Nothobranchius furzeri: one gene and its partner. The protein of the gene in region 1 binds, or shares a complex with, the protein of each later gene. Links are inferred from orthologs where the notes say so. Each region holds a gene or a part of one and is shown on either strand. Other genes may lie near its edges.

What was found.
Region 2: the proteins of activin receptor type-2A (region 1) and inhbab are in contact, whole or in part, in a crystal structure (PDB 7U5P), measured with the Homo sapiens proteins. The link is inferred for Nothobranchius furzeri from reciprocal best matches to the Homo sapiens genes ACVR2A and INHBA. Residues at the interface, in NP_001265508.1 of Homo sapiens: Asn36, Asp53, Lys56, Phe61, Thr63, Lys65, Val74, Lys75, Cys78, Trp79, Leu80, Asp81, Asp82, Ile83, Asn84, Val100, Phe102; in NP_002183.1 of Homo sapiens: Ile340, Ala341, Pro342, His346, Arg397, Pro398, Met399, Ser400, Met401, Leu402, Tyr404, Asn409, Ile410, Ile411, Lys412, Asp414, Glu421.

The regions. Positions count from the first base shown.
Region 1 is NC_091743.1:85,750,013-85,766,002, forward strand, and holds the start of activin receptor type-2A, read left to right. Parts: upstream 1-6,101; 5' UTR 6,102-6,331; coding exon 6,332-6,386; intron 6,387-15,990. UniProt on the Homo sapiens protein: On ligand binding, forms a receptor complex consisting of two type II and two type I transmembrane serine/threonine kinases.
Region 2 is NC_091751.1:34,011,997-34,028,051, reverse strand, and holds the start of inhbab (inhibin subunit beta Ab), read left to right. Parts: upstream 1-8,913; 5' UTR 8,914-9,092; coding exon 9,093-9,504; intron 9,505-15,874; coding exon 15,875-16,055. Other genes in the region: spectrin alpha chain, non-erythrocytic 1-like, read left to right, coding at 811-876, 987-1,091, 1,164-1,196, 1,277-1,312, 1,521-1,598. UniProt on the Homo sapiens protein: Inhibins/activins are involved in regulating a number of diverse functions such as hypothalamic and pituitary hormone secretion, gonadal hormone secretion, germ cell development and maturation, erythroid differentiation, insulin secretion, nerve cell survival, embryonic axial development or bone growth, depending on their subunit composition.

The DNA of each region.
Region 1 (15,990 bases):
CATCTCTCTGTTGTGGAGCTCACGGAGAAGTATAAATCAGGCGTTAGTCTATGGGTGACGCCATATTAGACACCATGTTTTTTTTTCTACGGGAGCCCGTGAGGACAACAAGCATTAACTGATTTGTATCAAACTGTTACAAAACTTTTGCCATCATAAACTTTGTTTTACACATTGATCTCTTCACTCATTGCCAGTGATGAAAGGGAGTCTGAGGTTCTTGTTACTTTGCTGGAGGTTGTGCTCCCAGGGATGTTTGACCCTAAAGGCCCTCCGTTGGTAATGTCTTACTCAAACACAAAAATACCGCTTGCTTGCAGTGATTTAGGGATGTACTGCCCCCTGGTGCCAGGGAAACTACACACTGTCATTTCAAATTAAACAAAATGAACACAAAGTCCATTTATTAGAAAAGCAGATTAGAATAAAATTCTAACGGTCGATAAGTTATTCTTCAGGAGAGTTAATCCTTGTGTTAACCCTTTAAAGGCTGACAAATTGATCCATTTATTGGAAACGTTTAACGAGGAAATTATGTACAATATTAGAACAGTAAAGACTATTTGTTGGCACATTACTAAACCATTCCACAAGTAGAAAAATCAGTGGAGTGGAATTTTGACGAACAGAATAATCCTGTTAAATAGATAGAGGTCTAAGAAACCTGGGAATATTAAACAGGTAAGGGGTAAAGACCAAGCCCCACAATGCGGGACAGAAATTGAGGCCAACGCGGAAGTGACAAAAATTGCAGTTCCACCCTCATCCACTGGGGGCTGGTGTCAGAAGCGAGCAAATCCTCATTGACTCCCATGTTAAAAATACCAATTTCACAGCAGAAATAAACATGTTTACAGCCTGGTACCAAAACATGTTTTTGGTTTAAATGATCTAGTTTATAATCATGACAACTCTGAGGGGGGTGAATGTTTTTCTCACTCTTCTGTTTGTGTATTAAAAGCCTAAAATTCTGTATAATTAATGAGCATCAGACCCACGTGACCACAGAGCTAGCTCCGTGGAAAGGCCTCAGTAGAGCCTCAGTCTGAGCCTCGGCCTCGCCTGAAAACTGTTCCGCGATTTTTAGTCTCTGAACTTAGTTGTAGCGTTTTTGCGTTCATTTTTGGATATTATTTGTGCAATTGTTGGACAAAATGACTTGCTGTGGCATTAATTGCACTAAAAGAGCGTCCAAGGAGTCTCCACTTCATTTTTTTTTCGGTAAGTAAAATTATATTTATGTATTTTAGGTCACTGCCGAGCTGAGCTTAGATTTTAACATGTACTGTTTAACCATGAAATTTAAATGTAATAGGGTAAAACCCAGTGCATTTAACATAATGCTGCACTTTAGAAAATGGGTTGAAATATAACATGTTGGTGGAGCTGGGTTCCGACTATCGGTATGGTCCCCTCCCCGCAGCTCACCGCATCTCTGATCGCCGCGGCGCTCTTCTGCTGCGCGGCTGCTGGCTTGTGAAGCTCTCGGGAGACCTCTGTGTTCCACCCGGTTTTACCCAGCGGTCAGCCCGGCGTATCTCTGTCTGATCGCGGCTTCTGTTTGATGTGCGGGCCGCCGGCTTGTGGAGCTCTGGGATGGAAACCTTTCCACCCGGTTCTCCCCAGCGACAGCTCTACGCATCTCAGATCGCAGCGGCGCTTGTCTGCTGCGCGGGCTGCCAGCTTGTGCAGCTCTCGGGAGACGTCTGTGTTCCACCCGGTTTTACCCAGCGGTCAGCCCGGCGTATCTCTGACTCAGAAGCTCTGGTGTTGTGCACAGTTATCTCCGGTTGTAGCTAGGTTGCTACCTCCGTTAGCTTAGCTCCCACCTCCGCGTTAGCTTTGGGTTAGCTTCAGGTTAGCTTGTAGCTAGTTCGACCGGGTGTCGTCAGTTGATACCAGCCTTACAGCCCCACCCTCAGCTCCACCTCTCTTCCCTTTGTGGAATTGTCTGGGCTTGACGGAACCTGTGACACGGTCAAAATGGCGGTGGTGGCCACCTCCCATTTATCTTCAAAAATGTGTTATTGGAGGCTATGGAAACCCATTGTCCAATATTTCTATGTCGATGGTAAAGACTGATATTGTGCTGATGGTTGTAGATCAGAAACGTCACTTTTTTCTATAAACTAATAAAAATAAAAGAAAGAAATGCAAACTGATCAAAGATCTGCCAGACTTCCATAGTCACACCAGGTGTAAGAAAACAGCCATCAGCATTTGTTTTTCAGTTAAAGTATTACTGTTGCTAATTTTCATTTATCAGCAGATGAAAAACTACAACAAAGTTTTGACTTCCTGTTTCCTACATAGAGTGAACATGTTGTGATTTAAAGCTGTAAGGAAATAAGGAACGATAAGGCTTAGCTGAGAGCGGGAAGTATCTTAATACCTGAACATTTAAACTGCTGAAATATGTTTAAACAAGTTTGTTTTGATGTTCAGCATCCTAAAAGTAATCTGTTCTTTTTGATCTGAGCTCCAGGAATAAAATCACTCTTTGAAGACGTTTGAATAGCAAGCTCTAACAAACAGGCTGACCACAACAACAACAACAACAATAATAATTATTATTATCATTACTATAATAATAACAATATTAATATTAATATTAATAATAATAATTATTATTATTATTATTATTATTATTATTATTATTTCTTTGATAATACTGTTTTGTGAAAAGGCTTTAATCTGTAATCTTTCCTTTGGATGATTATGTAAATATTAAAACAGTAAAACATAAAAAACACTGATTATTACCACATATTTTATATATTTGTTTTCATGAATAAATTGTTTTATTCATTTGGCTGACAGTAAAGAACTTGTTCAAATGTTTTTGTTTATTTGTGCTTTATATTTTTAAGTTGTTCTTTCTTTTTATCTTCAATAATTCTCTTAAATTTGATTAAATTTGATTTTGTCATGACTCTGTTTCATACCATGATTTGTATTTTGGTGGTTTAAGGAATTAAAAAACTAGAAAAAAAAAACAACTCAAATTTTCATCCCAATAAACAAAGTAATTATATAAATCCTTGTACTGATGGGAATAGATAAACAGGACAATATTTTCTCATGAAATAAACTTTTCAGGTGCTTTCTGTTCATCACTCATGTATTTTAACTCCTCTGGTGTAAATCAGTTCCTATCTTTGGGATTTCCTACTTAAAAAGACTCTTTAGATGCTGCTGTGCAGCCTGATTTGTGGTCTGAATGAGAAACTCCATCCTTCCATTCATCATTCATGTTAAAGTGTCCACTTGCTCCCAATCCTGCAGCTCTCGCTGTCACCTGTCACAAATCCTCAGATAGGAACATTTCACACAGCTTTAGAACTATTTACATCCTTCGTTGCATCCAATGCACTCTGTGAGCAACTTGCTTTTTGACTTCCTTTGACACTCAATACTGGGTACATTAAGCCACAGAACTGTGGGGTTACTCTGTGCACGAGGTCCATTGGTTCCAGTAAGGTGCATCAGCTCAGCTCTCATTAGCAAGCATCACCATACGTAACTCGGGCACGTGTAATGCCATTAGAGGAGATTTGGCATCTGATAGAGGAGTAATGGGATTTTGTTGGGTAATAAATCTCCAGGAGCAGAACTGAAGGTCTTCCCCACTCAAAGAAAACCATTTTGAACTTGTGACCATTTTTTTCTGTTATCGTGGCTAAATGAATCAGATGTTTGAGGGCTGTGGTCCAAACTGATGAGGTTACGTGCAAAAATTTGGGATTTATTATTTATTTTAAATAAAAGATCACAAACTAATGTTGGTGCTTCTGGTTTGGAAAAACAAAAACAAAAGAAGCTTAGAAAATCCCTCAAAAGTAAGGCCAATAGATGGTGTAGAAGGTGACCATGCAGCTATAGTTAAAGCTAAAACTTCCTGTGACGCCATAAAAGCCTCTGAGGAGTGTAATCTGATTAAGGAGTGGTGACTGCAGCTGTGCTCCCAGTGTCTTGATGCATAATCAGTATTTTATAACTCCTTTGTAGCATCAGATAAATCAGAATCACCGTTAACATCTCCAGAAACAGAGCGGATGTGTTTCCCTGTTTCAGATATGTGCTCGGGGGGGGACCTCTGCACCCCTCGCCGGGCCTGTGCAACCCCTCCACCCATCCATCCCACTGGTTCTGATAGTGGGTCGTGTGTTTTTGCTGAAGATGAAAGCTCCAACATAGAACAGGTGACTCAGCTTCCAGTTTGGTGGAGAAATCCCCCGAGACCTTTGACCTCCTAATCGTTCAGCTGCGCTTATAGTAGGAGATCTGCTCCAGGCTATTAGAGAGATTAGTGCCACACAGATCTGGAACCAGGCCAAGCCGATACTTCATGGCATTCTCAACATTTATTACTTTGCTCCCAGCCGCATGTTGATACCTGATATGTGACCTTTTAGTAGCACATAGCCTGACGGTATACATGTCCTTGAAGGGAAATCAGATATATAGTTTGATCCTCAAAAACATCATTACAACAGGTTATAGAGCTGATCTGGTGTCTGATTCACACTCACATCATGTTGTTCGTGAGGTTTGTTTTATTATGGTAAAAAATTGCAAATAAACCATTTTAATTTACCATAGCTTAAATACAAATTATACAACTCATTGTTGGAATCCTTTTGTGACCATATAGAATAAGGATTTGATTATGATTTAGTCTGTGTTTTTTAAATAACCATTCTGACCACCCGTGTTTTTCATAACGGGACACTCTGGAGAGTAAAACAAGCAACCTTCCTGAACGAAAACAATCCCTAAGCTCGCAAAGCCGCTCTAGTAAACTGAGCAAAATCAGCAACCTTTCTACAGGATGTTTACATGTTTGACCTTCAAAATAAAGCTAAAATTGGTTATGACTTGATTTCCAACGGAAATTTCTCACGTCACAGCAGCAGCAAAAACACACACTGAATATAAATAGAGCTACAATAAAAACAACAGCTACGTTGTCATTTAAAAATGAAACAACAGTAGGAGGTTTTTACCTTTAGATTGTTTTTGACTTACCAACATTTAATACTCTCACCATCTAATAACGGATTTACTTTTTACACATTGACAAAGGCATTTACAACCATAAAAAGAAAAAACACTGACAAATTTTGATTGCCACTTTTAGATTTGAAATTATTTGTGGAAGATAAATAAACGATTAAATCAAATACATCACCTAATTGGCTTTAATTAACCCGACAAGCTGAAAGGGAAAAAAATACTAAAGGAACAACACTGATTTAATCCATTTGCTAGATGTTTTGTTGGTGTTGTTTCACAAATGATCCAGATTAAATGCTGAAAAGCAGAGTGCAACACCTTGCTGCTGCATGTTGGAAAATATTACCAGATCACGACAGCTAAATGTCAAAATGTAACTAAAAAAAAAATCACTCTGAAATGAAATCAAACTTCAACGTGAGTGTTTTATTTTGAAAACCTTTGCCGGAAGCCTGCCTTGCCAGCATTCCTGACCTGACAAGTTCCAGTGACGCCATCTTGAAATTGTCCCGACCAGTGGAGGAGACGGACTTGGAAAATCCTGCTCGTCCAGAACGCGGTACCAGTACGGCGCTCAAATGAATTGTTTCAGTTATTAAGGAGCGTTTTGACTTGATAACTCGAGTCACCGTGACCAGTCGCGGTTGTTTGAGTCACTTTGGAGCGGACTATCTCACCATCGGGAGCCGCGCTGCCGTCCTAGCTGGAGCGGACTGAGCTGTGTGGTTGTGGCCGGCCAGCCCCGCCGGACCGAGCGGACGTTTCCACACGGAATACCACGACAACAAACGCTTTAAACCTCCGCGTTCCTCGCTCAGAAGGTGTGGATGTGTATCTCTGAGACATTTTGACGTTTGAACAGCAATGCTAATGAGCTCACCGAGGAGAAGTTTGATTAGAGAGCGGAGTGCGCTTGATTTCAAGTCCGATGGATGTTAGCCCTGCTCGGCTGTGGCTCGGCTTTCTGCGCCGCTGTTCTGAAAATAACTTATCAGGCTCAAGTGATCTGTTCATAACAATGCTGCAGAGCTTGCAAGTACACGGCTGCCCTGGTGCCAACAAGTCGCCCTCCATTGCTTGTGTGTAAACCTGGAAATCTCCTCTTCATCCTGGTCCTTTTTTTTTGACTCCTAAGGCTTACATTACCTGGAATATTTTGGATTTGGACTTTTAATGATGCTTCTTTTCCAGAGACGGTGCTCCTTGAAGCAGCAAGACATTTAATGTAATCCAACTATTGTCTTTTTTGAGGTTTGTTTTGTTTGGAGTGCTTTTAAATCACCTTAACAGCGAGAGGATCAGATTCGGATGGAAAATGGGAGACGCTACAAAACTGGCCATCGCCGTTTTCCTCATCTCCTGCTCTTCAGGTGGGTGTGGAGGGGCTGTGCATGGTTCATTGTCAGCCGAGGGGAATCCAATGCAGTGCTCCTTGTTACCTCTGCAGAGTGCAATGCGCTGCATGTTCTTGTGTGCAAAGAATGCAATGTGTATTGCAATGCATCCCTGTGGGAAGGGTGGAAAGCAACTCACTTGCAGCCTCTCTTATTAGTGCCCTTTATTTGCTGCCTCCTTGTGTGATTGTGCATGTTGCATATTTAGTCCGCTCAAGATGGGGCCGCAGGCTCTCAAGGGGCCTTTGTGGAGCTCTGAGTGGAGCAGGCTTGTACAAATTGGGCTTTAGTTTAGGTTAATCGGAAAACTAGAGAGGACTTGTGTAGAGTAGGGGATTGTAGAGTAAATAATTGGATCAAAAGTCACGTCTTGACATCAGATGAGTGTGATTCGTAAGGAGACTGGATTTGTAGACTGGAAATGCAAGAAAACAAGATCAAAAGTTTGGGATTACTTCTGGTTTCCTGTTGAAAAGCACATGACATGAGTCTGAATGTAACTTGAACAACATGTGCTTTTTGCAGTAAAACACATTCCAACGTATTTTAGTAGAGATGCGCATGTTCTGGTATTGTGGGTTAGATTTCAGATTTGTGTACAGCTCTGACCAGCTGATACTGATTTATCTTGTAAATCTATAAATAAGCAATTGCCTGTTTTTGTTTCGTAAGGATGAGTTGTTTTTATGTTTAAATTGGTCAGTTTTCTTTTTAATTAGTGTATCGTAAGTTTAAGACACAAGTTGATGGTTTGCTCACACCAGTTATGTCTAAAACCTGATCAAACAGGGCACTGAGTTTCCTACACAAGAAAACACAACAAAGTTCATTGAGACACTGACTTGTTGTGTCAGAGACTTCACAGCAATCCTCATACCAAGCAAGCATGTAGCGACAGTGGAGAGGAAACTCCCTTTTATTATTATTTAATTATTAATATTATAAAAGGCTCAATAATATGCATTAGATTGATGTTTAGTTCCCTTTTTCCCGTCTGATATTTATAGTTAAAATATTTTTAAAAATTCGACCTACATTTCAGTAACATTTTAGGTTTGTATTAATAACACTCATCTTAGTCAAAATAACACAAATATATCCAGAAAAATATAATGCATTTCATTAACATGCATTTGTATTGTAAATGGTGATAACATTTAATTTCTGCTGCTAACAATGTAATGGTGGCATGTCTATTATGTACGGGTTGGCAATAATCCAGTTTAAATTATGTTAAAAGATGGAGATTTCTGTGAATTATATACTACAATGCATTGCCGTAGAATTGTAGCAGTAATGTGACTAATCTGCAGCGGTTCTGATCCGTAGCGCTGCAGGATGCAGAATAAACAAGATGGTGGGGACTTTTCATCCACTTGTATAGTTTAGTCTTTCCTAGTTTTACGATCATCATATATTTTTTTGTGCGCCACTTGATCGTGAGACTGCTACCCGTTAGCTTTAGCATTAGCCAATCTGCGTGTAGCGGCACTTTTGATCCCAACCTTTGGACCGGTTCTGCCTTTGCTGGTTCCTGTATTTTCCTCCACTGCATCCAGATGACCACACTGTGCGCCAGTAAAAAGCATTTTTCTTACATGTAACTTACTTTTGTTCAACAAAGTTCTGGGGAAAATAGTCATTTAAAGATGTTGCACCAGTGCTACGTCTAAAAATAGACAAGACACGCACAGTTTTTTCGTCGCTCTGTACAGCCCTGCTCTGATATGGAAGAGCCTGGGGGACAATCAGGACGTCAACAGCACCAACCATAGATATTTACCAACTAGCGAGAAAAGCAATTTTTGCTCTTTGTCTGCAGCGTTTTTTTTGGTGCACCGCTGCTGATACTGCGTCCCTGTAGTGGCGCAACGCTGCAACTGCAGTTAAAATAACACCCATATAGCTGGGGCGGCACAAAATTAGCTGGAGGCGGCCGCCACGCAAATTTGAATGCAGTAAAAACCTTGGTACTGTTGTTATGAAGAGCTTTGAAAAATGTCAAAATCTTTTAAAGTTTTACCCCAAAAACTTTTTCAGTAAAAAAAAAAATATATATATATTTTAAATTGGTAAATTTCCTAAACTAAATAAAATATCAAAAATCCATCCACATCGTTTGGTCATCCACTCGTCCTATCTTGTCAGGCAAAGTTTTTACTTAATTGAGTTTGACGGCCAAGAGGAGTTAACGAAAGTATGTTTGACATATTATGCAATTTTCTACCAATTTGCATACGTGTAAAACTTTTTTTAAATATTCGTCTAAATTTGATAGACTCAAAGAACACCCAGGATAACAAAATTTGTTTCTAAACTGAAGACATTTGGAGAAAACTACCAAAAGCATTTTTTGGGTACAACAGTGCCACCCAATGGACACATTTAAAAAAATATATGTGTTTGTAGATGACACTATTATGGATATGATCTGTTAAATTCTGTATAGAATATATATTTTTCATGAGTCAAAGGGCAAATTTTTTTTAAAGCCTATAAGCCACGCCCACTTTGTAATCATTTTTAGTATATGGCTTAAGGGTCCGATGATAAATATCTGTGCCAAGTTTTGTGGAAATCCATCAAGCCGTTTAGCTGGAAAAAACTTTTTGATTTCTTAGCACCCCCTATTGGTGAATTAGACCAAAATTAGGTACATATGGCTTACAGATCACACTTTGTAAGACTCTAGAGTTTCATCATTTGATCTTGAAAAATGTTGACAGTATCGTAATTTAGGGCATGTGCTAGCTAACGCACTGGATTTGACATTGTGTCATTAGCCCAATTTTCAATATTTCTGCAAATTTCTTCATAACAACAACTTCTCTCCATCAATAGATCAATGTACAAAGTTTCAGGTTGATTTGATGAAAAACAACGGATTAGTGATTAAAACTAGACTTCGTGTTTATTGCCATTTAGCAAAAATTTAGTTAGGCGGAAATGGGTGTGGCCAATACAAAAAAAATACAGAATCATCCAAGGATCAAGGATATTAAAACGCTTTTGAAGGTAAGACCTATGGTTTGGGAGTTATTTGCTAAAACGTATTGACCTTCACAATAGCGCCACCTAGGTTTTTCTAGGTATGAATTTTTGAATCAGAGTAGCAGCCAGGATTTTATATCAGACCGCCATGTTGGATTTTTCCTGGCTTTTTGTGGCTCATGTGTCCATATAGAGTTAGCGGAGAAGAATAAAAATGAAAAATCCGTAAAAAAAATCGGCACTAATTCGGACACTGACTACACTGCCATGTTGCATTTCTGTTTATCACGTTGGTCTAAAATGATCACGTGAGAGCCGCTTCACTTCTTTTTCATGATGCCCAAAACAAACTGAAATAAAACAACTATCATAAAAAAACGGCATTACTAAAAATTAATTACAACTGAAGACGCAAAGAGCAAGTTGCCTCAAGAGGTCGGAGGGACATGTAACAAAAATGGGGTTAACCTGATTGCGTATTTTGGCCGTGTTGTTTTGGTGATTTAGGTCTTTCGACCGGAAAGGCATATTTGGGTAATTTGCAGCCAAATATTTTTGGTGGCCAGTTTTCGATGCAGCCCGGGGAAATGTACAAAAATAAATAAGAAATCAGTGCATTTTAAACACACCTCCGATATGTGTCAGCAGCATTCTAACCAAAATACCACATTACAGACTTATTGTTTTCCACAAAAAACAAACAAAACATCCAAATAATCCAAACACATTAGGATTATTTATTATTAATATTTATATATTTATTATTAGTTTATTTTTTGTGACCTAAACACAACAACAGCTTGATTTCCATAGCAGAATTGAGATAAACTGGTTCTGCATTCACACATTGTAGTGGCAGTGAAGTAATTTCTAGCAAATATTTCAGTGACTCGTCCCCATTTCCATGATGGCAAGCATTTCATCTGTGTCAACAAGGTGATAAAAGGTCGGCCAGGAGGTGCTGTCTATGTGAACGTAGGTGGCGTGACCAGCGGATCTGCCTCTACTGGTTTGCACGCTAGATATTTGAGAGGAAATGCTTGTTGAAGCCTCTGTGCCAAGAGGAAATGAGTGTTTTTAAAAATTAATTTCCAGTGTGTTTTACAAAAGCCAAAGCTAAACCCCCGTGGTTTTGGCTAATCTGTCGTTCCTCGGAACCCGAACGGGGTGTGTTGACTTGTCTGACCTGGTCGGGTCGTCGAGTTGCCGACGGGAAGGTGCCAAATTTCATCCCGGTGATTTTAAACTTCCAGTTTTGATAGCAGCAGTTTGTGTTATCTGATGATTTGACTGGAGACAGGAATTGCCTAAGCAGAGATTGCAAAACAAAGATAAGGCCTGGGGGCCGATTTTCTCCGGTGGCTGTGTGCAGGAAAGCATTCAAGTTAAGTGGAGAATGACGTTTCAGTCAGATTTCTGTCTGCTCCACACCGGGGTTTGCATGTTTGTGCAAGAAAACAAAACTGGTTTATGAGCAGCCTGGAAGACATGGCGTAAGTGTCCAAGGAGAGGGAAAACTCGGTATAAAAGCTGCAGAAGGACGTGAAATACGCTCTGAAGTAGCAGTAGAATAGTTCCACTGTGAGCCCTGGAGTGTCTTTGAGCCTTTGGGTAAAAATGAAAAGGTTTCTCAAATTCGGTAATAGTCAGGGCGGCTCCGAGTGTGAGCCAGGTGCTGACTGTACTGCAGAGTGCAGCAGATGATTATCCTACTTGCTCATTACTGTCTGAAGTGGGGAAATGAATGGTTTCCACTTGAAGTAGAATAATAATTCACTGCAAAATCCAAGTTGAATTGGCTGAGTTTGTGATGACACCAAGAACCCTCTGATGAGGGCAGAGCACTTGGCCCAGGGAGGGTTTTTCTCAGGTGCTCTACTTCTGAGTGCAGCAAAAAAAAAAAAAAAAAATTATCACATATTCTGATGTTTACCTAAAAGATGGGTACTTTGTACACAGAAAATGCAAGTTTAGCCATTTTTTTTCTTTATTTAAAGTCAAAGTCTGTTGATAACAACCAGATTATGAAGTCATACAGCCTCTGAAATGCAAACATTACATTTTTTTTTACTTTTATTGTGAGGCAAAATAGGGAAAAATAAGCTAAACTTTTTTTTTATTTACAGCGGAGCTCTTCTAATCATGAATATTTAATAATTTACAACATATTTTTACACAGTTCACTGAGAAATTAATATTCTTAAAGGGACATTATGGAAGTTTGACAGCAAAAACATGTATAGAAATAAAACATTTTCTCCACTTATGTGGTTATGATTTAAGGCTGTTGCTGTAATTGGGAAGTGAACTGTGCTGGGCCAAACTAGGAGGACATTAAGATTTTCTGAGGGAAAGAGAAAAACAATTGTCTACCTTTCAGAAGAGGAACTGGTAAAAAACTACATGGAAAATATGTGAAAACGTTTGTTTTTAACCCCAAATTGAACAAGTTTACCTAGATCTTAAAAAGCAGCTCAGATGATGAAACTGCAACTATGATTCTGATAACAAGCTAACAAATTGAACTAGCTCCTCTCAGATAACCGGCTAGCAGAGCTTCTGACTGACAGTTTATGTGCAGCAGCAAATCAACTATCCTGATTAACAAGTTTATAAAAGCTCATAAATGAAAAATCACTTTGATGTGTGGGGGAACTTTTCACGTTTAAAAGCAGCGCTGATTCCAGAAACCTCAGCACAAAGTGCGTTCGTTGCTCTGAGCCAGCATGACGAACAAGGGAACGGCGCCGCTTAAACTCAGTTCGGGTGTTGCTTTCCATAAGGGTCTACGTAGGGGCGGGCGTATTACGTGAACGGACCCATCTGATTGGCCGCATATCAGAAGGACTACATTTGATTAGTCAAATAATACTTCCGCGTAAAAACAGCTGGTTTACAAAAAGTTGATGTATGACACAGATGGAAATGTTTGAACCAAACATTTATCGCCATTTTTGACGTGCTTTGCGATGGGCCTATCGCACGTCCTGTTATCCCGATGACGATAATTTTTTGATATATTGTGCAACCCTAGCAGGATGCAATAAATCATCAGTGTTGGTAATGTTATAGCAAATACGTTATATTTGTGTTGGAGGTAATAAAATCACCACTACTATTGTTTAGGGCTGCCACGATTAGTCGACGCGTCATGACATCGTCGGCAAAAAAAATAGTTGACACAGTTTATTGTATGAGCATGTTTAAAATCTCGCCTGCTGCGGCACATTCGGCATTTGCTTCCTGCCTCTCTGCTCACTAGTCGCCGTCCGTGTCAGCCGCGGCTTACATATGTCGAGGCACATGCGCAGTAGTGCCACTCCAGCTCAGTGTTTGGATCAGAATCACCGGAGAAATAACTCATCATAGCGAGTCGGCAACGGAGCTCAAAGGTTGAGAAGCATTTTATTAAAACAACTGAGAAGAAGTAGAGTTCAGACTCATTTCACGGGAGCACATCGGCGATGCACGAGCATTTTAAAAGCAAGTACGTGACTGCGGAGATCGTAGAGTCGCCTCTGTAAGTTTACCTCTTGTTAGCTGCTAGCATCATAGGTGTAGCAACAACTGTAGTGTTGGCGATTACATGTTTAGAACACGTATGTATGTCACGTATTCTCTCTAATGTTACAAACGCTGATGATTTATTTTATCTCGCTACGTTACAGAGCTAAAAGAGAGCGCTCTTGTTCTACAATAGGGCTGCAACTAACGACTAATTTAAAAGTCGACCAGTCACCGACTATTGAAACGATTAGTCGACTAATTGGATAATTATAAAATTTTTCTTAAATTTAGCATGAGATTGCTTTAATTATGTGAAAAATGATAATAAACACAAGAAAGATGGGTACTTCAATGGAAAATGCATATTTTATTGAACTTTTCTGCTGATAGGCCGATTCATACTAAAAGAAAATAAAAATGACCCTGTCTAACACCAATTAGGCACAGTGCTCAGTCAGTATAGACATAAATGCATAAATAAAATTAAAATATTTTTGTCAGGCACAGTCCCACATAACATTAAATCCCTCTTTTTTTTAAATAACGAAAATATGTTTAAAAATGTACAATGTACATCCAAAACAAAACATGGTTGCTTTTGTGATATTTAAATCTTACTGAGTTGAGTCAGACTCTGTTTCGTTCAACTGTCCGACGTGCTTTCTCTTTAAGTGTTCATGCATCACAGAGGTGCTGCCATGATGTGCAAGGACTGCTTTGCAAATAATACAGGTAGTCTTTTTATTCGCCGAATCCAGGCTAGAATGCTCCCAAACTTTTGATGTTTTGGTATGCGTAGCTGCTGTTTTGGACGCCGCCATTTCTGTTAGTTGGCGCTCAACAGAGAAGCTATATTGCGCATGTGCGACTCTCGGCAGAGATTGTAATGAAGTGAGATGCCTCACTCGGTCGGAAAAAACACGTCTGGTGACAATTGCTATTGTCGACAACATCGCCGAATCGTTGCAGCCCTATCTGCCGCTAAATATCTTTTTGTTTTTTGAAGCGACAAAGACGATGCTGTTGATGAATTTACAGAAAGCTGTGTCCTAATCACAAGCTTGCCATTTCCGTCTGTTCTGAAGGAAATAAAAAAAATTTGGGCATGTCTCCGTCACCCACGTTATGTGTCTCAGTCCCGACGCGGACAGAGAAGTCTAAACTAGGCTTGACACAGCTGGTCATTACTGCACATGTGCCTTGAGCAGAAAGCAGCAGAACGTACCGCAGCAGGCAAGATCAAAAGACAGCAATGCTTCATAGAATAAACAACGTTGATTATTAAATTAATTATCAACAATTTAGTTTGTTGACGTCATCGTCACAAATCAGCACTACACCGAATTGAGACAAAACTTCCTTCAAAGACCTTTCACAGTGACAGACCGGAAAAACGTGCATCAACTTCAATTAATAGCTTTTAAAGTTTGTTGAAACAACGTAAAGACAGATTATATGCTGGGTCCATCATGTTTTCATCCAGAAGACTAGAATCATTTGTTTTACAGCAGGTGCAGCATTGCTGAAGAGAAGAAGGGGGTTACTTCTAGTAATAAAAATATAAAAAAAAGGTCCACACTGGATTGTGTCTGTTTCCCATAACAGATCAGGGGTCCAGGATTGGCTCCAGCTTTACTGGTTACGGGCGTCTTTGTGATCTTTCTGCTCCTTCAAAACAGAAAGGCCCGTTTAAGTTTCGAGGAACTGATAATCTGGTGTTGACATTAGATCTGTTTGATAGGCCACCTCTGCCTCAGATTCTACGTGAGGTCCGACTGCAAACGGGTAAATATTTACAGTGCACACTTGTCAGTACCGTCACATTCAGAAAGCTGAGAGAAACTCTGCTCATTCGGTTTCCTATGAGATGTTTATGCTAACTTTGTTCCATAAACTAGCAGTAAAGCCATGCCTGTCAAACGACCAACTGACTACCAGTTAAAGTTGAAACAGCAAACTGAAGTATTTTCTTTCCAGCTGTTTTGTTTTGTTCTGTATTTGTGTACGAGAGTCCGATGGTTCAGATTCTGATCGCCGTCTTTCCGTTTGGCCTCCTGTTTTGTACACTGCAGCAGTTTCACACAGGCATTGATCCTCTTGCACGCCGGTGTAAAGTTACATCGACGTGGTGAGAGCAGCTCTGCTTTTTTTCATATAACCAATATTATTATTTTACAAATCTCTGCAGCACAACTGATCTGGTGGGTTCACTTCTTCTCTGCTGCGCTGCAAACCTAACCTGAAAAGTGATCTCAGTTGCGCTTCATTAAAGCTGCTATAGCAAATTTGGAAAACAAAGTAGCCTAAACATTTTTCATGCCTCTAAACAACGTTCTAACATAGTATAGCTATAAATATACTGCAGAGATTAAAAAAAAATGAAAAAGACTAATGAAGTAGTTCTCTCACATTTGTCTCCACCAATGACACATTTCAGACCAAAAGCAACTATTGGACCATACCAGGGTTTCCCTTACATAGGCTTAGCCGTGGCGGCCCGCCACAGCTGAAATCCCACCGCCACGCCTACAAGATCCCAAGTTTTTTCTTATTTTTTGTTTCCCGAAGAAGCAGCGGGAACTATTATGTTGTCGCTTGTGAATACAGCTGGCGGGCAGCAAGGAGCAGGCAGGGCAAGGTGAAGTTACAGCATAAGTTACTGAGTTTAAAATTAGAAAGGTAGCAGTGGATATAATGCTTTTTGGTTTACATGTTTCAATAGCATTAAGATAAATGAGTGTTGACGATCTTGACAGGTTTTCCTCCCCCCACCAGGCTAAGCATAACTTATTCATGTAAAATTTATTTATTTTTTCATGTCTGACTTTAACCACATCTAATAATGTATTACGGCGTGAGCGCAACAGCGACAACTGAAGATCGATGTGTGAGCAGCCTGAGAGGTCGGGTGTTTTCATCTGAACCCTTAAAACCTCCAGCAGGCTACGTTGCACTATTGACGTGTTAGCGTGCGGCGCTAACAACTTAGCGCCCCTGATTGCTGTGAGACCGGGTTGGGGGGTGGGGGGTGCAGCTGTGGTTGGGACAATTATTACATTAACTGATGGACCTGTAAATAAAT
Region 2 (16,055 bases), on another chromosome or scaffold:
AGGCTGAGATCACAGGTCATGAACCTCGCATCAAGGCTGTCACCCAGAAAGGAGAGACCATGGTGGAAGAAGGTAGAGCAGGTCTGGTCCTGACATGTTTCTGAGGTGTCTGCAGGTTCTGGCTCACTTTTTTTGGGTCCAGGTCACTTCGCTGGTGAGGAAGTGAAGACTAAACTGTGGGAGCTTCATGGACGTTGGGACACGCTGAAGGCCAAGGCGTCCCAGAGGAGGCAGGACCTGGAGGACTCTCTGCAGGCCCAGCAGTACTTTGCGGATGCTAATGAGGCCGAGTCCTGGATGAGGGAGAAGGAGCCCATCGTTGGAAGTCCAGACTAAGGGAAAGACGAGGACTTGGCCGAGGTATGGAAGTCCCTTCCTGAGAAACTCCAATCGCTTTTCTTTGCTCTCTTTCCAGTCCTTCATAATTAGTGTTTCTGTATTTGTCATTTCCTTCGGTTGTCAACCAGACGTCGTTGCTCGTTTGAGCGTCTCATGGGTTAGGGGTAGAAGTGCTGGCCTCGCACAGGAAGTGATGACAAACGTGTTCCCGTCGCTCTTATTTCAAACGGTTTACAAGCTGTGATGTGTGTTCCCGCTGCAGAGCAGCCATGACACGTGGCAGCCGGCAGAAGGCTCACGCTTTTCCACTAAACACCCGCAGAGCTGCGTCTGCGGTGAACTGAGCAGGGTTTGTTTTACGGTGGCGGATCCGATTGGACCATCGCTGCGAGAAAGCTCCACTTGTGTCAGACGAGCTGAAGGTTCTGATGTTCTGCTCCACAGGCTCTCCTGAAGAAGCACGAGGCCCTGATGTCGGACCTGTCGGCTTACGGCAGCAGCATCCAGGCCCTGAAGGAGCAGGCCCAGTCCTGCAGGGTGAGTTCAGAACCCTCGGCCCGTCAGAACATTCTTATCCACCACGTTCTAACACCGGACCTGTTAACCCAAACGCAACAAGGTAATCAGCAGGTGCTTTTGTCCTGCAGGACCTGAAGGCCAACGAGTCCCGCCTGAGGGACATCAACAAGGTGGCATCTGAACTGGAGTCAGAAGGTCTGATGGCTGAGGAGGCTCCTATGGTTCAGGCTCAGGTGAGCGTCACCTGTCTGCAGCAGCTGGTCCCTCTCACTTCCTGGTTTAACTCTGCTCGTCTCTGTTTGTAGCAACAAAAACATCTGGGTTCTGCTCCTGGAAAGGTGCATGTTGTCCTCCGCCTCCACCAGAACCAGACGTGGTGTTTATGTTACCACTCATTTGTTTGTTTGTTTGTTTACAGGATGAAGCCGACTCTAACACGGCGTCACCCTGGAAGGTGAGTTCATTCAGCTGATCAGAGGTCACCTCTGATGGCAGCAGTCACGGCCGACCGTGCTGACATCACACAGGAATTCAGGTGACCCGGCAGGCACCAGGTGCTGGTGAAAGTGGGGACATGTCAGCTGGTTGCCATGGCTACAGTTATCTTTATGCATCTGTATGACTGCTGACTGGTGTGTGTTTCCTGTGACCTTTGACCTCAGACCGTACGGTTGGGCGTTCAGACGACGGCTAACTTTAATTCCATCAAGGTAAGAGGAAGCTCTTCCCTTCCTGTCTGAGCGATCCGTCTCCAGGTTTCTTCGTCCGGCGTCCAGCCCGCTGGCGTCCACCTTCATCTCACCTTCATCTCATCTCACTTCATTTATAGTGCAATACTTTCACATTATCATTTTCCCACACTTCTGTATACCTGTATTTTGTTGTTTTTCAATAAAGAATGACAAATTATTTAAGTTTGGTTTTTGTTGCACACAAATATATATCTGTAAAAAATATCTACAAAGCTAATGTTTACATAACAAGTATGATTGGGTTTTGCAATACGGCACTCAAGTTTATTTTAGTAAGATTTTCAAACCAAGTAAAGTTAGTAAAGAACACATTTCTATTGTCTGCTAAGAAACTGTTGGGATTTAAAATGGGCCTGTTGTACAAATAACTTGTAAATGATTATTCCTCACTTTTGTCTTAACCAAAGAAATTCCAGTAATTGAGCAAAAACATTTATTTTTAACACTACAGTTTATAAAACAGGGCGCAAAGTGTCGGCACATGTATGTATGTCGATGGTCCGCCCCAACCAAACCAAGAGACACAGACGTCAGGGAGGCCAAGGTTGTCTCTGCAGCTCTCTGGGCACCACGCCTCACTCAGCTGTCTCCAATGATCCAAATGGCTATGGAGGAAAAAATAACAGGTTTGGCCTAGCTGTTTAAAGTACAAAACCATTCATGAAGTGGTCAAGACAAGTACTTGGTACTTACACTTGCTGCTTTGTGTAGCTGACGTTGGAGACACACAGGCTGCCATGGTGACCTTTTAATAGATCTAAGAAAAAAATGTAATAAAAGAATGAAACTTAAAAACTCCCAGACCTCATGTCATATTTACTAATCAGCTATGGCTGATTTGTTTGGATCACAGTGAGTTACACTAATTCTAATATATTTTTATTTCTATTATACATACATACTTTTTAACTGTTATTTTCACATGACTGTTATCAGGCTCTCTTGTTCTGGTTCTGATGATAACTCTGTCTTCCAGTAAGTTATCTTGTGCTTACTTCATCTGTAGAATGTCTCTTTACTTTTGGTAAATTGTACTGAGTCCAGAATAAAGGCTAGTTGGCTGTACAAGATACAAACAAGTATTACGTTTTGGAAATATATGAAACACCGCCAGCATCTGTTAGAGCCTGTGGCGGGGTGCTGAGGGCCGGCTCCAGCCCAGGAATGAGCTCTACACGCCGGCCGGGAGGGTTTCAAACACCGCCATCCTCTCCTCTGCTGGCTGTTCATTCTGTTGTGGTTACCGGTGCTTGTGTTGCAATGTGAAACGCTTGGTCTCAGATTTTGTAAGAAAGATAATAAAATATCCCCCCAAAATACGACTTAAATATATTTTCTCTTCTTCATGATACATTTAATGGCTGGTGCGACTCAGGAGTGATAGCGCCAAAAAAAAAACTACTGAAAACTTGCTCAAAGCAAAATGTTTTCATTACGGAAATAAATTATAAACTTACCGATTTAAAACTTTTTTAATACAGGTACTTCTCACGAACAGGTGCAGAAAACCTCCACCTAAACTCCGTGTAAGGTTCAGGTCGATGGGTGTTCCAGTTAGCTCCGGTTGGGTTGAAGCTAGGTGGCTACATCCGTTAGCTCGGCTCCCACCTCCGCTTTAGCTTTGGGTTAGCCAGGGTTAGCTTCAGGTTAGCTCGTAGCTAGTTCGCCTGGGTGTCGTCACTCGAGCCCAGCCTTACAGCCACACCCTCAGCGCCTCCTCTCTTCCCTTTTATAGAATTGTCTGGGCTGGACGGAACCTGTGACACGGTCAAAATGGCGGTGGTGTCCACCTCCCATTATAGACAACAAACGTGTTATTGAAGCCAATGGAATCCGTTTGTCCAGTATTTACAGTCTATGGTGATGACCTATGGAAAAAGTTCTGGCCATCTTAAACCCTAATAATATGTGGAGTTGTTGTTTCTTAACTAGCTGAATTTGCATTTGAATCATGTTCCTCCCTAACCCATGATAAATGGGTACCGATGCTCTGGCACAGCGCGTCGCCTCCGCCTCCCGAGGCGCAGGGGCTCATCACCTGCTGTCTTTTCCGAGGACTGCATTGTTACGACCTCAACCTGGTCTAGGAGGCAGGGAGGCCCAACACAGGAACGTGAGAATTTAAAAGGAAATGATCTGACACCAAGTCACAATCAAAGAAAGTCCTTTTATTAACTAAAAGCGTCCCAAAGGGAGAAAAACCTGTTTAATTAAAAGGGGAGTTTAACTTATGCTGCAGGAGACAAATGCTGAGGGCTTAAAGTAACTTAAAGAGCCATAAAATGAGAATGGAAACTCACTGGTTCTGAAAATGAACCAGGAACAGAAGCTTGCCCGGAGGCCTTACCAAAAGGTCCACTGGTGAACCAACTCACCCACACTACCGACAGCTCAATCAAGAGCAAGAGAAAACCCAGTCTTAACCCGAGGGTTTTCTCATGCGGGTTGAAATTAACCATCCGGGGCAACTATGGGTTCCCAAAAGTTCTCACACACAAAGTCCTCTCCAAATCCTCCTCTCCAGTCCTCTCAATCCGTCTCTCCCTCAGTCCTCTCCTTCAGCCTTCTTTCAGTCCTCTCCATCCTCTCTGTCCTCCTCGTCATGCAGTGCAGCGCTGATTTTATCTGCTCCAGCCGGGGGATTTTCTGATGCGCATCAGCTGCGCGAGTGTGGCCGGGTGCTCTCCAGGGTGCTGACCATGGTGCTGAAAAGGAGCGGAGTAGAAGCCGGGCGCTGGGGAACTCAGGGATCGTAACATGCATCTTGTCAGTCATTATCACGTGACAGTGACTAGTCGATGACAGGCATAAAAAGTCACTACAGAGCCGTTAACTTATTTATATGTTTATAGCATCTTGACCAACTCCACAGAGGATAGAAGATAACATACATGCTTACTCCCAACATCTGTTCAGGTCAAAACATGTTATATTCAATTCAAGTTCAATTCAAGTTTATTTATATAGCGCCAAATCACGACAAGAGTCGTCTCAAGGCACTTCACATAATAAGCATTCCAATTCAGGTCAGTTCATTAAGCCAATCAGAAATGTTTCCTATATAAGGAACCCAGCAAATTGCATCAAGTCACTGACTAGTGTGAGTGACTTTACAGCAATCCTCATACTAAGCAAGCATAAAGTGACAGTGGAGAGGAAAACTCCCTTTTAACAGGAAGAAACCTCCAGAGAATCCTGGCTCAGTATAAGCAGCCATCCTCCACGACTCACTGGGGATCGAGAAGACAGAGCAGGCACACACACACACACATACACACACACACACACACACACACACACACACACACACACACACACACACATACACACACACACACACACACACACACACACAGACAAAGTAATGTGTCTATAGTTATATTGTGATGCCATAGTAAATATTCTATTTGGTGAGAGATAAACTTTATTGTATTTATCCTATTGGATCTATAATTAAATGGATGAACTAGTAGTAGCACATCCAACATCAAGGAAAGAAAAAAGTTATTATCAGGAGAGGGAGAATGTTTTAGTGGTTAGCAGCAGTGTGCTAGATGGTGGCCCCCTCCATGAGGCCACCACAGCTCAGCAGAACATCATTGTAGCTTCTTCTGGGGAGAAAAACACTTAGAGAGAAAATAAAGTTAACAGCTGAAATTGCAGAAAATAATACAGTTAAAGAGCAGATTGTAGAAGAAAGCAGTAGAGTATGAAAAGTGGTCAGTGTATCCTCCAGCAGTCTAAGCCTATAGCAGCATAACTACAGAGATAACTCAGGATAATCTATCCTATTTAGATGGAGGCATGTTGGAGGCAGGGCAAGGGAGAGCCGTCTTTACCGACTGTACACTCCACCTCCCTCTACTCCCCCACTTGTCCAGATCTAGGCTAACATCAGATTTTAACCATAGGCCCTATCAAATAAAAATGTTTAAAGCCTATTCTTAAAAGTAGACAAAGTGTCTGCCTCACAGACTAAGGCTGGGAGCTGGTTCCAGGAGCCTGATAACTAAAAGATCTGCCTCCCATTCTAATTTTAGATATTCTGGGAACCACCAGTAGACCTGCAGTCTGAGAGCGAAGTGCTCAGTTAGGAACATATGGATCAATCAGATCACTGATGTATGATGGAGCTTGATTATTGAGAGCTTTATATGTGAGAAGAAGGATCTTAAAATCTATTCTGAATTTAACAGGTAGCCAATGTAGGGAAGCTAAGACAGGAGAGATATGATCTCTCTTTTAATTCTCATCAGAACTCTAGCTGCAGCATTTTGGATAAGCTGAAGACTTTTAACTACATTCTGTGGACTTCCTGAGAGTAATGAATTACAGTAATCCAGTCTTGATGTAATAAATGCATGAACTAGTTTTTCAGCATCACTCCTGGAAAGGATGCTTCTAATCTTAGCAATATTCCGAAGGTGGAAAAAGAAAATCCTACAAACCTGTTTAACCTGGGATTTGAATGACATGTCCTGGTCAAAGATAACACCAAGGTTCCTTGTAATGTGTTCCTTGTAATAATGTAATGCCATTCAGGTCAGGTGATTGGCTAAGCAATTTCCTTTTCTGGATTTCTGGTCCAAAGATGAGAACTTCCGTACTGTCTTGATTTAAAAGCAAAAAGTTTAGAGTCATCCAATTTTTTATGTCCTCAAGACAAGCCTGTAATCTATCCAACCGATTAGGTTCATCAGGGTTAATGGATAACTATAACTGAGTATCGTCAGCATAACAGTGGAAGTTTATCCCATGCTGTCTAATGATTTTACCAATTGGGAGCATATATATAGTAAAAAGAATTGGTCCAAGCACTGAACCCTGTGGTACTCCACAAGTAACCCTGGAGTATGAAGACGATTTGTCATGTACATTTACAAAATGAAATCTGTCAGACAGGTAGGATTTAAACCAGCCTAGCGCTGTTCCTATGATCCCTACAACATGTTCAAGTCTTTCTAAAAGAACATTGTGATCAACTGTGTTATATCCACAACAAGAATCGTTTGACCATATCAGCAGAGTGAAGGCATGTCCCTAATTTACGACATCACAGTTCAGAGGGCTAGAAGGCTGCCTGGACACACACACACACACACACACACACACACACACACACACACACACACAAACATGATAAGGGAAGGTAACAGGCCTTTAGCTTGGTTTCACACACACAGATTGAGGTGTAATCCAGACCTGTTGATTATAAAAATCAGGTCTGGAATTAACCCAATTCAGCACACTAAAACCCTTTTCCTTTCAGCCACTAAAAGTGACACAGTTTATAGTTCAAATTATATTAGTCACCAGATACCAGGAATTAAATATTTCGGTCGCACCTAACCTTTTGATACATGAATTATGAAATCTTCAGCCATGATTATCTAACAATTATTCTCATTCATCTTTGGGTGTGAATGAAACAAATTTCAACAAATGCTGTATTGTTTGTAACATTTAATAATTTGCAATTAATTTACTACATGTTCACCTCAGTGGACAGCGTGTATTCTGAACATGAAATATGTTGGCTGGACTTACTGAAGTAAAAATGGAGGGGCTCAAATGCAATAACGTAGAAACTGTCTATTGTAGTGACCATTTCGCATCAAGGAGTTAATTTTTTATCTTTATGTTCTAGTTAAGTAGCCTCAGGCCTCAACTGATTTGACCTTGGTGGCTCAGACAGAACACAGCAGCCTTCTGCATTTCTGAGGCAGGCTGTGCTGGAGGGTGATAGAATGGTATCTCATCTTGTGGCACTTGATGGGTTGTTCCGGCAGTTACGGGCTATATGTCCCCTCTTATGGCAGTTCCAGCAAATAACATCTCTGCCGTTTTGTAATTTTCTTCCTTGGCCCCTCCGCCTAGGGTTACGTCTGCCTTTTGTTGCAGAACCTGCATATGATACAGTGCCATCTGAGCTAAAGAATGTGTACAAACTTGTCTCACCAAATCTCTCAGAACTTGAGTAAATCGTGGATCCCCCCGATGTCAAGATCCTCACACTGACCCCCAGCGAAAGCACGGCGCCGGAGGAGATTTAGGTTGTCGCCAGTTTTCATGATCAAGAACTAATAAACATACATTTTTCCATAACAGAAGGTCCTTGAGACGACTCTGGTCCTGACTTGGCGCTGTATAAATAAACTGAATTGAAATGGATCAAAAGGAAAAGGTGTTTATTGCCTGGAGACGTCATCATGGTTATGGACTCCACAACACCTAAGGGCTCTTGGATACTTGGAAGAGGTATAAAATCTTTCCCAGATAAGAAGGGTCTGGTCCGTGTTGTTTGTCTTCAAACAAAACCCAATGTGACAGAAAGACTTAGAAAGTACGTCTGTTATGTGAAGCAACTAAAGAACCAAATACTAGTAAAATAATGAGTACATGAACCTTGGTTTACCCTTTCAAGCATACTGATAATGTGTTAGCGTCTTATTTTGGCTGCTTGTTTGTTAACTGCTACCTGTGTGTCCTCCTGTCACACGCAACTAGGACCCGATGTGTAGGGTTAGGGTCGGAGAACCACCTCTGCTTCATGCCTCTTAGCAACATTCTAGCAAAGTATAGCTATAAATACATTGTGTAGATTTAAAAAATGAATAAAACGGTTCTCTTGCATTTGTCTACGAACCTCCATCAGTTACACATTTTGGACCGAAACAACCAAACTAGCACAGGCCAAACTGAACGAGAGCTCTGAGCTCAGGTGCTGAGGATGCTGTAACTCCTGCGTGTCAGCAGCAGGGGGCGAGCTAATGTCAGACGGACTCATTCCATCTGCTACTGATACAGCAAACTCATCTTCTATCTATAACTTCACACCAACGAGGTTCTCCTCCACGTGAGGTGACGAAGATGCTGCTCTGATTCATGTGTGTGTGGTATGAATGAATCAGGGACAGTCTTCCTCCTCTTTCCTCCTCCTCTTCTGTCGTGACGTTTAATCAGGAGGAAACACCACAAACAGTCCTGAGATATTCTGGGTGATTTTACCCACAGCAAGAGTTCCTGTGTGTGTGTGTGTGTGTGTGTGTGTGTGTGTGTGTGTGTGTGTGTGTGTGTGTGTGTGTGTGTGTGTGTGTGTGTGTGTGTGTGTGTGTGTGTGTGTGTGTGTGTGTGTGTGTGTGTGTGTGTGTGTGTGTGTGACTCAGAAGGAAACCCCTCTGTGGACACAGGGAGGGATTACACAGCCTCAGAGGTATAACTACTGTCAGGGAGCAGAGAGGGAGACTACAGTGACCCGGTTCTGCTTACTGCAGCAGAACTTCCGGACCAACAAGTACCAGGACATCACAGGACCAGAGAGCTTCTGGACTAAACAAATCAGCAGCAGACCATCAGAACCACCTCTGCTCCTTAAACAGAATCCACCTCTAAATGGACCCAGGCCTGAACTGAAGGTTGCTTTTGAGCCCGTCTGCTCAGACTTCTAGACACTCTGTGGGACCTTCACCATCACAGAACATTATGTGTTCTTGGGTCTCCGTGTTCTTCTGGGCGCTGGTCTTCCTTCTCATGGATGCCTCTCCAACTGTCTCTACATCGTTGGACGTGTCACAGCAGCTCCAGAAGGGAGCAGCCAACTCTGCCTGTCCATCTTGCTTTCTGTCCCAGATAAAGACCAACTCCTCCTGGTCAGGAGGTCAGAGCGGCATGGTGGAGGCGGTGAAGCGTCACATCCTCAACATGCTGCACCTGAGCGCTCGGCCCAACCTGACACAGCCAGTTCCTCGAGCAGCTCTTCTCAACGCCATCAAGAAGCTGCATGTTGGTCGAGTGTCTGAAGATGGCAGCGTGGAGATCCAGGAGGACAGCTCAAGTCCCACATACTCAGCACCACCTGAACCACCATCAGAAATCATCACCTTTGGAGAGCCAGGTGAGCTCAGAAGTTCACAAAAGGTGGGGTTTGGATTTATCAGCTGGAGTCCAGGTCCAGGTCCCAGCATCTCAATGGGACAGGCAGACCATCAAACATCTGTGGCAGCAGGATGTGTGGACAGAAGGTTCCCTCACATTAGGACAAGTCCTCCACAGCTCAGAGGACATGTTGGACCTGAACCTGGTCTCTGATTGGCGATGTCTGAGTGTCTCTTGGGTAGCAGCAGCTCAGGAGGTAGACTTCTAGTAGAGAGTCACATTCTAGTTACTGGTGCTCTAGTCACATTCTAGCTACTGGTGTTCTAGTCACGATCTAGTTAATGGTGTTTTAGTCACATTCTAGTTACTGGTGTTCTAGTCGAGTTCTAGTTACTGGTGTTCTAGTCAGGTTCTAGTTACTGGTGCTCTAGTCAAATTCTAGCTACTGGTGTTCTAGTCACGATCTAGTTACTGGTGTTTTAGTCACATTCTAGTTACTGTGTTCTAGTCGAGTTCTAGTTACTGGTGTTCTAGTCAGGTTCTAGTTACTGGTGCTCTAGTCAAATTCTAGCTACTGGTGTTCTAGTCATGATCTAGTTACTGGTGTTTTAGTCACGTTCTTGTTACTGTGTTCTAGTCGAGTTCTAGTTACTAGTGTTATAGTCAGGTTCTAGTTACTGGTGCTCTAGTTACATTCTAGCTACAGGTGTTCTAGTCACGATCTAGTTACTGGTGTTTTAGTCACGTTCTAGTTACTGGTGTTCTAGTCGAGTTCTAGTTACTGGTGTTCTAGTCAGGTTCTAGTTACTGGTACTCTACTCACATTCTAACTGGTGTTCTAGTCACAATCTAGTTACTGGTGTTTTAGTCACGTTCTAGTTACTGGTGTTCTAGTCAAGTTCTAGTTACTGGTGTTCCAGTCAGGTTCTAGTTACTGGTGCTCTAGTGACATTCTATCTACTGGTAATCTAGTCACAATCTAGTTACTGGTGTTTTAGTCACGTTCTAGTTACTGGTGTTCTAGTCGAGTTCTAGTTAATGGTGTTCTAGTTAGGTTCTAGTTACTGGTGTTCTAGTCAGGTTCTAGTTACTGGTGTTCCAGCCATGTTCGAGTTACTGGTGTTTTAGTCACGTTCTAGTTACTGGTGTTCTAGTCGAGTTCTAGTTACTGGTGTTCTAGTCAGGTTCTAGTTACTGGTGCTCTAGTCAAATTCTAGCTACTGGTGTTCTAGTCACGATCTAGTTACTGTGTTCTAGTCGAGTTCTAGTTACTAGTGTTATAGTCAGGTTCTAGTTACTGGTGCTCTAGTCACATTCTAGCTACAGGTGTTCTAGTCACGATCTAGTTACTGGTGTTTTAGTCACGTTCTAGTTACTGGTGTTCTAGTCGAGTTCTAGTTACTGGTGTTCTAGTCAGGTTCTAGTTACTGGTGCTCTAGTCACATTCTAACTGGTGTTCTAGTCACAATCTAGTTACTGGTGTTTTAGTCACGTTCCAGTTACTGGTGTTCTAGTCGAGTTCTAGTTACTGGTGTTCTAGTCAGGTTCTAGTTACTGGTGCTCTAGTGAAATTCTATCTACTGGTAATCTAGTCACGATCTAGTTACTGGTGTTTTAGTCACGTTCTAGTTACTGGTGTTCTAGTCGAGTTCTAGTTAATGGTGTTCTAGTCAGGTTCTACTTACTGGTGTTCCAGCCATGTTCGAGTTACTGGTGTTTTAGTCACGTTCTAGTTACTGGTGTTCTAGTCAGGTTCTAGTTACTGGTGTTCTAGTCAGGTTTTAGTTACTGGTGTTCTAGTCGAGTTCTAGTTACTGGTGTTCTAGTCAAGTTCTAGTTACTGGTGTTCTAGTCAAGTTCTACTTACTGGTGTTTTAGTCACGTTCTAGTTACTGGTGTTCTAGCCATATTCTAGTTACTGTTGCTTTAGTCAGGTTCTAGTTACTGGTGTTCTAGTCAGGTTCTAGTTACTGGTGTTCCAGACACGTTCTAGTTACTGGTGCTCTAGCCACATTCTAGTTACTGGTGTTTCAGTCACGTTCTAGTTACTGATGTTCTAGTCAGGTTCTAGTTACTGGTGTTCTAGTAAGTTTTTAGTTACTGGTGTTCTAGTTACTGGTGTTCTATTCAGGTTCTAGTTACTGGTGTTCTATTCAGGTTCTAGTTACTGGTGTTCTAGTCATGTTCTAGTTACTGATGTTCTATTCACGTTCTAGTTACTGATGTTCTAGTCACGTTCTAGTTACTGGTGTTTTAATCGCGTTCTACTTACTGGTGTTCCAGTCAGGATCTAGTTACTGGTGTTCTAGTCAGGTTCTAGTTTCTGGTGTTCTAGTCACGTTCTAGTTACTGGTGTTTTAGTCAGGTTCTAATTACTGATGTTTTAGTCAGGTTCTAGTTACTGGTGTTCTGTTCAGGATCTAGTTACTGGTGTTCTAGTCATGTTCTAGTTATTGGTGTTCTAGTCACGTTCTAGTTACTGGTGTTGTAGTCTGGTTCTAGTCACTGGTGTTCTGGTTACTGGTGTTCTTATCAGGTTCTAGTTCCTGGTGTTTTAGTGACGTTCTAGTTACTGGTGTTTTAGTTATGTTCTATTTACTGGTGTTCTAGTCAGGTTCTAGTTGCTGGTGTTCTAGTCAGGCTCTAGTCACGTTCTAGTTACTGGTGTACTAGTCACTAAAGTTCTAGTCACGTTCTAGTTACTGGTGTTAAATCACATTCTAGTTACTGGTGTTCTAGTCAGGTTCTAGTTCCTTGTGTTTTAGTCATGCTCAAGTTACTGGTGTTCTAGTCAGGTTCTAGTTAATGGTGTTCTAGTCAGGTTCTAGTTACTGGTGTTCTAGTCACGTTCTAGTTACTGGTGTTCTAGTCAGGATCTAGTTACTGGTGTTCTAGTTACTGATATTCTAGTCACATTCTAGTTACTGGTTTTCTAGTCAGGTTCTAGTTACTGGTGTTCTATTCACGTTCTAGTTGCTGGTGTTCTAGTCACATTCTAGTTACTGGTGTTCTAGTCATGTTCTAGTTACTGGTGTTCTAGTGAAGTTCTGGTTACTGGTGTTCTAGTCACATTCCAGTTACTGGTGTTCTAGTCACATTCTAGTCACTGGTGTTTTAGTCAGGTTCTAGTTACTGGTGTTCTAGTCACGTTCTAGTTACTGGTGTTCTAGTCAGGTTCTAGTTATTGGTGTTCTAGTTACTGGTGTTGTAGTCAGGTTCTAGTTACTGGTGTTCTAGTCACTAGAGTTCTAGTCATGTTCTCATTACTAGTGTTCTAGTCACGTTCTAGTTACTGGTGTACTAGTCACTAGGCTTCTTGTTACGTTCTAGTTACTGGTGTTCTAGTCACATTCTAGTTAATGCTGTTCTAGTCAGGGTCTAGTTACTGGTGTTCTATTCAGGTTCTAGTTACTGGTGTCTTAGTCACGTTCTAGTTACTGGTGTTCTAGTCAGGCTATAGTTACTGGTGTTCTAGTCAGGTTCTAGTTACTGGCATTCTAGTCAGGTTCTAGTTACTGGTGTTCTAGTCACATTCTAGTTACTGGTGTTCAAGTCAGGTTCTAGTTACTGGTGTTCTAGTTACTGATATTCAGTCGCATTCTAGTTACTGGTTTTCTAGTCAGGTTCCAATTACTGGTGTTCTAGTCACGTTCCAGTTACTGGTTTTCTAGTCACGTTCTAGTTACCGGTGTTTTAGTCATGTTCTAGTTACTGGTGTTCTAGTCATGTTCTAGTTACTGGTGTACTAGTCACTAGGCTTCTTGTTACGTTCTAGTTACTGGTGTTCTAGTCACATTCTAGTTAATGCTGTTCTAGTCAGTTTCTAGTTACTGGTGTTCTAGTCACGTTCATTACTGGTATTCTAGTCACGTTCCAGTGACTGGTGTTCTAGTCATGTTCTAGTTACTGGTGTTTTAGTCACATTCTAGTTACTGGTGTTCTTGTCACATTCTAGTCACCGGTGTTCTAGCCACATTCTAATTACTGGTGTTCTAGTCACGTTTTAGTTACATTCTAGTTACTGTTGTTCTAGTCAGATGTAGTTACTGGTGTTCTAGTTACTGGTGTTCTAGTCAGGTTCTAGTTACTGGTGTTCCAGTTAGGTTCTAGTTAATGGTGTTCTAATCATGTTCTAGTTACTGGTTTTAGTCATGTTCTAGTTAATGGTGTTCCAATCATGTTCTAGTTAATGGTGTTCCAGTCATGTTCTAGTTACTGGTGTTTTAGTCATGTTCTAGTTACTGGTGTTCTATTCAAGTTCTAGTTGCTGGTGTTCTAGTCACATTCTAGTTACTGGTGTTCTAGTGAGGTTCTAGTTACTGGTGTTCTACTCAGGTTCTAGTTACTGGTTTTCTAGTCAAATTCTTGTTACTGATGTTCTAGTAACTGGTATACTAGTCAACAGTGTTCTAGTCACAATCTAGTTACTGGTGTTCTAGTCACATTCTAGTTACATTCTAGTTACTGTTGTTCTAGTCAGGTTCTAGTTACTGGTGTTGTAGTCAGGTTCCAGTAACTGGTGTTCTAGTCATGTTCTAGTTACTGGTGTTTTAGTCAGGTTCTAGTTACTGGTGTTGTAGTCAGGTTCCAGTAACTGGTGTTCTAGTCATGTTCTAGTTACTGGTGTTCTATTCAAGTTCTAGTTGCTGGTGTTCTAGTCACATTATAGTTACTGGTGTTCTAGTGAGGTTCTAGTTACTGGTGTTCTAATCACATTCGTTAATGGTATTCTATTCACGCTCCAGTTACTGGTGTTCTAGTCACGTTCTAGATACTGGTGTTCTAGTCACATTCTAGTTACTGGTGTTCTTGACACATTCTAGTTACTGGTGTTCTACTCAGGTTCTAGTTACTGGTTTTCTAGTCACATTCTTGTTACTGATGTTCTAGTTACTGGTATACTAGTCAACAGTGTTCTAGTCACAATCTAGTTACTGGTGTTCTAGTCACGTTTTAGTTACATTCTAGTTACTGTTGTTCTAGTCAGGTTCTAGTTACTGGTGTTGTAGTCAGGTTCCAGTAACTGGTGTTCTAGTCAGGTTCTAGTTACTGGTGTTCTAGTCAGGTTCTAGTTACTGTTGTTCTAATCATGTTCTAGTTACTGGTGTTTTAGTCATGTTCTAGTTACTGGTGTTCAAGTTACTGGTGTTCTAGTAACTTATGTTTAGTAACTGATGTTCTAGTTACTGGTGGTCTAGTAACTGATGTTCTAGTTACTGGTGGTCTAGTAACTAATATTCTAGTTACTGGTGTTCAAGTAACTGATGTTCTAGTAAATGATGTTCTAGTTACTGGTGTTCTAGTAACTGATGTTCTAGTTACTGATGTTCTAGTAAATGATGTTCTAGTTACTGGCATTCTAGTTACTGATGTTCTAGTTACTGATGTTGTAGTTACTGATGTTCTACTTCCTGGTGTTCTAGTTACCGGTGTTGTAGTTACTGATGTTCTACTTCCTGGTGTTCTAGTTACTGGTGTTGTAGTTACTGGTGTTCTACTTCTTGGTGTTCTAGTTACTGATGTTCTAGTTACTGATGTTGTAGTTACTGATGTTCTATTTCCTGGTGTTCTAGTTACCGGTGTTGTAGTTACTGGTGTTCTAATCAAATTCTAATTACTGATGTTCAATTCAGGGTTTAGTTACTGATATTCTAGTCAGTCATGCTCAGGTCAGACAGGTTCCATTTCTGTTCCCAATCTGTATGCAGATGGGAGAAAGTTTGTGTGAGAGTGAAACAGTCATGTACTTCCCAATTTACTGACAGAAATGTTCCTATTGATGTTCTATTAATAGTCATCCTTATCCTAAGAAATGTGTCATTAATCAGCTCTTCAGAGGGTTGTCAGAATTAACGAGCAGTGGGGGTGGGGGTGGGGGGGGGGCATTCCGTGTGGCCTCAGGCCGTGACTAAATTCTGTATTCATGCAAATCTGGGCCTCAGTAATTATTGCGGAACAGGGGTGGTTGGGGGGGGGGGGGGGGCTCTTTTTTTAGTTTCTGTTTTCATCAAATTTATTTAGAGGCTCCATTCATTCATTAATAGTCATTGTTTAAATACAGTGTGTGTGTGTGTGTGTGTGTGTGTGTGTGTGTGTGTGTGTGTGTGTGTGTGTGTGTGTGTGTGTGTGTGTGTGTATGATTATGTGTGTATATGTATGTGTTTGTGTGCATGCGTTTGTATGTGTATGTGTGTGCATGTGTTTGTATGTGTATGTGTATGCATGTGTGTGTGTGTGTGTGTGTGTGTGTGTGTGTGTGTGTGTGTGTGTGTGTGTGTGTGTGGTCTGTTGGTTGTTTTTCTGTTTAACACAAACACAAAATAACCTAGGGGAAAAATGTTTTGCTGCATCTCGTTTTACAGACTGTTTCAACATGTTTTTCTTCACAGGGCCCTCACCGAACTCTGTGACTTTTGACCTTCTTAAGGACACTGGCTCTGCTCTGGTGGAACAAGCTAATGTTTGGATCTTCCTGAAGATGTCAAGAGTAGATGGGGTCAAGGGAAAAGTGATGTTGCGGCTGCTGCGGACTCCTGATAATGGAGATCCTGATGACGAGTGTGTTTCAGA